Tamandua tetradactyla: one gene and its partner. The protein of the gene in region 1 purifies or fractionates together with the protein of each later gene. This does not show direct contact. Links are inferred from orthologs where the notes say so. Each region holds a gene or a part of one and is shown in the gene's direction. Other genes may lie near its edges.

What was found. Proteins that work in one complex are often made in the same cells at the same time.
Region 2: the proteins of EXOSC4 (region 1) and HBS1L purify together in Homo sapiens (affinity purification with mass spectrometry; 3 studies listed by BioGRID and IntAct, with this or other methods). This does not show direct contact. The link is inferred for Tamandua tetradactyla from reciprocal best matches to the Homo sapiens genes EXOSC4 and HBS1L.

What each region holds. Positions count from the first base shown.
Region 1 is NC_135332.1:82,575,887-82,579,357, reverse strand, and holds EXOSC4 (exosome complex component RRP41), read left to right. Parts: upstream 1-940; 5' UTR 941-1,051; coding exon 1,052-1,222; intron 1,223-2,180; coding exon 2,181-2,387; intron 2,388-2,481; coding exon 2,482-2,841; 3' UTR 2,842-2,879; downstream 2,880-3,471. UniProt on the Homo sapiens protein: Non-catalytic component of the RNA exosome complex which has 3'->5' exoribonuclease activity and participates in a multitude of cellular RNA processing and degradation events.
Region 2 is NC_135351.1:35,359,621-35,363,369, reverse strand, and holds the start of HBS1L (HBS1-like protein), read left to right. Parts: upstream 1-1,580; 5' UTR 1,581-1,731; coding exon 1,732-1,774; intron 1,775-3,749. UniProt on the Homo sapiens protein: GTPase component of the Pelota-HBS1L complex, a complex that recognizes stalled ribosomes and triggers the No-Go Decay (NGD) pathway.

The sequences.
Region 1 (3,471 bases):
TGAAGGGAAACCTCCCAATGGGCAGAAATGCAAGGTATATTTGGTTATCCACTTGCTATGGACAAGAAGAGGTAGCCTGAGATACACATAGCCACCACCTCCACGGCAGTGGTGAAGAGCTTTGCTGGTTCACCAGGAGCCTGAAGTGAACAAAACTGAACAAGACAGACAAAGAGACAAGCTCCTGATCAAGGGACTGATCTTACAAGCCCCCCATCAGACTAAGGGAATCCAGAGACAGGGCACGCAGAAGGCCCTCCACCCTGCCAGTGGATGTCCACCCCTTGTGGGCCGGCCGCTATTTGTCCGAGCTTGGAAAACAGGCTCACATATTTTTAAAAAAAGAAGAAGGAAAAACAAACTTTATTTCAAACCACCTGCTTTGACTCACTTCCTCTTCTGCGGGGTAGAGCTGGAGTGGGCGTTTGGGGGCTCGTCCCGCGGGGGCTGAGGGGGGAGGATTTGGTCAGGCTCCGGCCAGCGAAGTCGATGCTAGAGACGATTGTTAATCTACTCATGCTGGTGCAGAACTGGCTTCAGAACACACTCGCCGCCCCGTGCGGGGCGTCGACACAGCGAACAGATGAAGTTGGCTAAGGAAGGTTGTTCATCCAAAAAGAAGAAAGGTGGAGCCAGGCTGCCGAGGGTCGGGCCGGAGGTGGGCCGGACGGGGGCACGAGGGGCCAGCGGGCAGACCAGGAGGTGCGGAGCCCCGGGGCCCGCGAGAAGGGCTTTCCGCGACACACCCCCGGGGCAGGAGGGCGGGGACGCGGCTGAGGGATTTCGTCCTCGTCGGGGCTCCCCGCCCCGCCCCGCCCGGGAACCAGCAGCCGCGGGAGACCAGTTTCAAAAGCGCCGCAGCTCCGCCTCCCCATCCCCAGGGTCAAGACCCCCAGCTACCCGGAACCGGAAATGGTGTGTCCGCCCGGAGTTGTAGCTTCCTGGGGCCGGAAGTGGAACCTGCGGCCGCCGGGAGCCGTAGTTCGCTGGGGCCGGAAACGGGTGCCGTAGCTCTCCGCGCCGCGGGGATTTTGGGCGGGCGGCTGTCGGCATGGCAGGGCTGGAGCTACTGTCGGACCAGGGCTACCGCGTGGACGGGCGGCGCGCTGGGGAACTGCGCAAGATCCAGGCGCGGATGGGCGTATTTGCGCAGGCCGACGGGTCCGCCTATATCGAACAGGGCAACACCAAGGCGCTGGCGGTGGTGTACGGGCCTCACGAGGCGAGTGGGCGTGGGAATGCGCGGGCCGGGCAGCTCCCCGGCGGGCACTGGGGCCACGCGGGGCCTCTCGCCCCTCCGCTCCCACGGTGGTCGTCGGCCCCCGTCCCGTGCGGCCTGCACTTCTCCTTGCTGTTGTCTGAGGTGTCGAGTGCTCGCCCTCGGTGGCGTCCGTACTCTCCCGGCTGCACCGCTCCCTCCTTCGCCCCTCTCAGGTCTGCTCCGAAGTCGCCGTCCCAGGGCCGCGTCTTCCCAGACCACCGTCTGCGCGTGGCATATACCCACCCCTGCCAGCATACACTTCCCATCCCCTTCCCTCCCATCGCCTTAGACATCAATTTTGACCTCCTCATCGTTTGTCTCCTCCCCTGGAATGTAATCTCCATAAGAACAGGGACTTTTGTGCCACTTGTTTTATTGCCCTATCGCTAGTGCCAGAACAGTGCCCGCCGTGAAAGCACCGAAGTAATGTCTGCTTAAGCGTGTGAGTCTAGGAGCTCAGCTGCCCTGGCGATGGGATCAGAAACATGAAGGCTGGAGGGGTGGGGACAAGCAAGGCATGTTTGCAGGGCACAAAGGCTGCAGGTGAGGGACAGGGTATAAATTCTAAGTGAGGTTGAGTGGTTTCAAAAGAGGAAAGGACTTGGGATTTTATTTTATGTTTGACGGAAAGCCTTTGAAAGGTAAGCATGAAATGAGTCAGACTTGATATTTGTAAGCATACTCAGGGTCAGGAAGCATGGTAACGGGAAAGCCAATTAAGGCATACACAGCCAGAGAAGACAGTGGCTTAGAAACTGGGGAGTGGCCTTTCCTGGGGGCATGCTTTGGAGGTAATGTAGGTGCTCCTTGCTGAGAGTTGGAGGTGGAGAGAGAGAGCTGAGGTAAGACTGTGAGTCACAGAACAGGATAGTGTGTACTGGGAAGAGGGGGCTGGCTCATGTGCCTTTCCTTCCCCCAGATCCGGGGCTCCCGGGCACGAGCTCTACCTGACAGGGCGCTGGTCAACTGCCAGTACAGTTCGGCCACCTTCAGCACCGGTGAGCGCAAGCGACGGCCACATGGGGACCGCAAGTCCTATGAGATGGGCCTGCAGCTGCGCCAGACCTTCGAGGCAGCCATCCTCACACAGTTGCACCCACGCTCCCAGATTGACATCTATGTCCAAGTGAGCAGGCAACAGCCCTCAGCCTGGATAGGAGGAACAAAGGGTAGGGAGTCAGCAGCCTCATGGACAAATGGCTTTGGTGTCCCTTTGGCAGGTGTTGCAGGCAGATGGCGGGACCTATGCAGCTTGTGTGAATGCAGCCACGCTGGCAGTGCTGGATGCTGGGATACCTATGAGAGACTTTGTGTGTGCCTGTTCAGCTGGGTTTGTGGATGGCACAGCGCTGGCAGACTTGAGCCACGTGGAGGAAGCAGCTGGTGGACCCCAGTTGGCCCTGGCCCTGCTGCCAGCTTCAGGCCAGATTGCGCTGCTGGAGATGGATGCCCGGCTCCATGAGGACCACCTGGAGCAGGTGCTGGAGGCTGGCACTCGGGCTGCCCATGCCGTGCATACGCTGCTGGACCGCGTGGTCCGGCAGCATGTGCAGGAGGCCTCCCTCTTGCTGGGGGACTGACCCCCAGCCATCCCCCAGAATAAAGCCCTGTTCCCCTACCTGGATGTGCCCCAGTGTTTCAATCCCCTGCCTCCTCACAGCACTTCCCTGCCCTGGTGCTGGCTTCTGGAGGTGACCTAGGACCCTCCCCCTTCATAGACACATACCTCTTGGGGTGTCTGGATTGAAGCCCTGAAAAGGAAGATGTAGTTGGGCCAGAAGAGGGGTCCCTGGGTTGAGAGAACAGTGTGTGCCGGGAAGGGGTCAAGGCAGCTTACCTTGGCAGGATGAGCCAGGCCATTAGACCACACAGTCTGTTATCCTCACACCAGCAGATATGGCCCTGGCTTCCAGAGCCCTAAGCACAGGGGCTGAGGGTGAATTCAAGGGGCCTTGGGTATCCACCATGGAGATAGGGGACTTCTCCCATATCCTCTGGACCACAGCTTGGACTGGCTGACCCCCTTCCCCTAGGAGCTCCTGGAGTGCATCTTAACCATTTATTTTGGGCTCCTAAAATACCACAGGCACCCATTCTCAACTGCAGTTTTCTCCCCTCATTTGCCCCCTAGACTGAGATAGACCCTCGCCCTGTCCTACCAAGGCAACCTCTGCTTCAGCAAGCTCCTCTTCCTCAGTCTCCTTTCTGAA
Region 2 (3,749 bases), on another chromosome or scaffold:
GGCCCTCCTGACATGTGCAGTAGCTTAGACTGTACCCTATAAGTCTTCTATACCTCATTATAATATTCCGCCATTTTCTTACCTGTGATTAAACATGTCATCAATCTAGGCATATTAATAACTAGATCACCTCTAATTACAACTTGGACCACTATGCTCATTATCCTAAACCCTGCCCATCCTTTTCAATAATAAAACTCTCAGAATGACTGCAGTTTGGGGAGATAAATTTTGGGCCCATAGGCCATCTGCTCTCTCACTATTGCCTCGTAATAAACTCTTTCTCTCTTTGAAACCCTGGTGTCTCCACAATTTGTTATTGAGTGCCTAGGCAAAAGAATCCATGACCTTTGTCGGTTACATTAATGATGATCCAAGAGGCAAATGCACTACTACCCAAGGGGCAGAAGCAATGCTTTCCTTCCTCAGCCCTTCCTTGGTATTTTGTTCAAGTGATCTATTCATAATACATTCATTTCAAAGTAAGGTGAGTTGTATTTGAGTTTGAAATTGACAATTACAGAGGGTGAGGTGGGGAGGGTTGGAAGCTGCTATTTTTATTGTAATAGCATAATTTCAAAGCACCTACTATGATCTGTGCTAAATCCTCTTACACAGATACATTAATTTTGTTACAATTCTATTAGATACTACTACTACTATCTCCATTTTACAAAGAAACAGATTGTGCCATAAAAGTAATCTAAATATGCAAAATAAAACACTCAAGCCATATAAATTTAACATCTATCTCCACTTTTGGGTAAAATTTTGTCTTGGAGTACATTAAACAGAAGTAACAATTAAGAAGAAACATCTCGTAGTCAGACACGTTCAAATGCACATGCACAATACATTCCAAGCTACTCATGAAATCTGAATTAACTATGTATTATTCTTACTGCTTCTTTCCGTTGTGGATAATAAAAAGTTAAGTAAGCTTTATTAGAATTCTGCATCTGCCTTTCAGGTAAAGTTATCAACATTTCGAAAAACAAGCTGAAACTCAAGGCTGTTTTGTCCAGTGTGATAATGCGGTCGCAAATACCTACCGCGCATCATTCGTCTTATGTTCCAACATCCAACAGTCGGTCATGGTTACATAATTACGCATCAAAACATTCATTACTGCCGCCTAAGACCAGAGCTATGTTTAAAATACTATATTTAGTGTTCCTAGATGTCACACGGCTTTACGTGTTCCGCGAACGCTCACTGTGCGCTCCTTCAGGAATGCGGATAAAACGCGTTTACATGACTAAGGGCAGACTAATGGCGACTCCCGCACACACGGAAGCCGTGAATATCGAATGCCTATTGAACCACAAAGATGAAAGGTGGATAAGACAAATGATCTGGAACCTTGGGGGAAATCAAGGACCCCGCTGCAGACTTTCCATCTAAACTAACAAATTGTGCTCGGCGGGACTTAGCTCCTGAGCCACCTCGGTCACCCAGTTTACAGGCGGGGCCGCGCCAACGTGCGCGCTGTCAATCTCATGGAAGGAGGGGCCTGCCTGGAGCCGTGAGTACGCATGCGTCCGCTGGAGGCGTGCAGGGACCCTGAGCGGCTGCCGTCCGATCAGACGTCGCGCGTGCGCAGGCGCTCGGCGCAGAGGCCTGCCGGAAGCCAAGATGGCGCATAGGTGTGTTTTGGGCCGCAGTTGGCTCCTGTTCAGTATCTGAGCGGGTGTTTTGTAGGGGGCTGTGGTCAGCGCCCCCTCCGCTGTCATGGCCCGGCATCGGAATATCCGAGGCTATAACTACGATGAAGGTAGGTGGCAGGGCCGAGCCGGGACGTCATTTTTGCTGTTCCAGCCTCGTTGGCATCCACTTCGACCTGTGAGTTTCTCGTCAGTGGTGCCAGTCTGAAATTCGGGGAAGGCCCAGCGGGGTACAGTAACATGGCATCTGAGTGTCAGCGACTGGCATTTCTTAATGATCTCAGCCTTCTGAAATTGATCACATTTAGGGTGGGAGGTACTGCATGGCGACATATGGAATATGTCGAGGTTGGGATCCCGTGATATTTATGCATGTTAAATCTTATCACACACACCCCCCCCCACCGCCGTTCTTTCGTCACTGGTCGGGCACGTGTCTCTCCTTGCTTCCTCCGACCTTCCCCACCCGTCACCCCCTGCCCCTAAAAAAAAAAAAAAAAAAAAGAAAGAAGAAAGAAAGGTTGCCAGTTCGTAAAACACAGATTGACTTAATGCTTATGTTCAACTGACTTGGTGTATTTATTAGGTTTATACGGTAAAAGTTTTATTAACGTTCGTGCATATTAGTGCAGAACCTGACTTGAGTTGGTTTTTCAAGTTAAATTAGAAATTTAAGAGACAGTAAAAACATAACATATTGAAAAGACCCAAGGAGTAAGTCTATCAGATGATCTTGAGGTGTATAATCAGGTCTTGGCTGGTTATGCTTAGTGTAAATGTGCTTTCAAGTGAGAAAAAAAGTAGTACTAGAAGAAAGGGTTAATGGAAATGGGCTTAATGATTTTTTTAAAAATATGGAATAAAGAAAAGAACACGAGAACAATGTGTATGTGAATGTTCCCTAGAACTTTAAAGGAAGTTGGAATTAGTTTTAGGACAAACACAACATCATTCCTTACACAGTGGATAATTATAGGAATTATCAAACATCAGTCCAAAAATGTAAACACACATGAACTAATGCAGAAGAGAAAGACCTATTGCTTTGAAAAGTGCAGAACATGCAGTGCTTACTATGTTGGTTGTTACTGGCACCCCCAGTAGACTATTCTAGGAGCATCAGGATCCTCTAACTATACTGGAGGGCAGCTAACACACAACTGCCAGATTTGGAGACAGTGACCTGGTCCACCTGGCATATGTTGGGTTCTTACTGTTCAGTTCAGAGTGGAGACACTTGTTGTCTAGGTATTGCTGCGGGCTAGTGTCAGCTGGGAAATGGGAGATATTTTTGCAAACATGATGTAAAGGACATGGATAGGTATAATTACAATCATTTATTTCTTTAATTTTCATTTATCATTTCCTCAGCCAGCATTGATTGAGTGCTTATTGTACCCTGTTCTAAACTTTGAGGACTGACAGTAAAGGGGACATATACAAGTAACAAGTGACTAGAGCATGAAAGATGGAACAAAAAAATGCAAAGTGTTATGGGAGTTATGTAAATGAGGACGCCTAATTCAAAATGGGTTGGGCCAGGGATGGGAGGATGAATGAAGCCTTCCTGGAGAAGGTAGTGCTTGGCTTAAGGGAGTAAGTGCTAAATATCTTCTCACTTGACCCCCTGAGGTCAGGTTGTTATGTTATCTTTGGAACAATTGGTGACATCATAACCAAAGCTGTTCTATAGCATAGGAGGTCCATCCCCTTTTCTTGCTTCTAATACTGCTCATCTTGGGGTTCAGTTCATTTCTTTTCATCCCAGTTAAGCTTTCCCTTGAACTCTCATGGAAATAATTGAAAAATTCATGGAAATAATTGAAAAATTCTCAGACGTGACGTAATAGAGTTTAAGGAAATAAAATTACCCATTTATTACCCATTTAAGCTACCCAAACATGACCTCCATTCACAGTTTATCTTTTGTACTGCAAAACCTATTGCTTCCTCTGTTGAACACACCTTTTTCTTCTGTGTAATTTGGGCAGTACTTGACTGCCTCGGCTACTAATTTTAAAGCCCCTGGAAGGCCAAGGGCTTTTTATATTTATTCTAGTAGCTGGAAAATTGCTTTACATACAG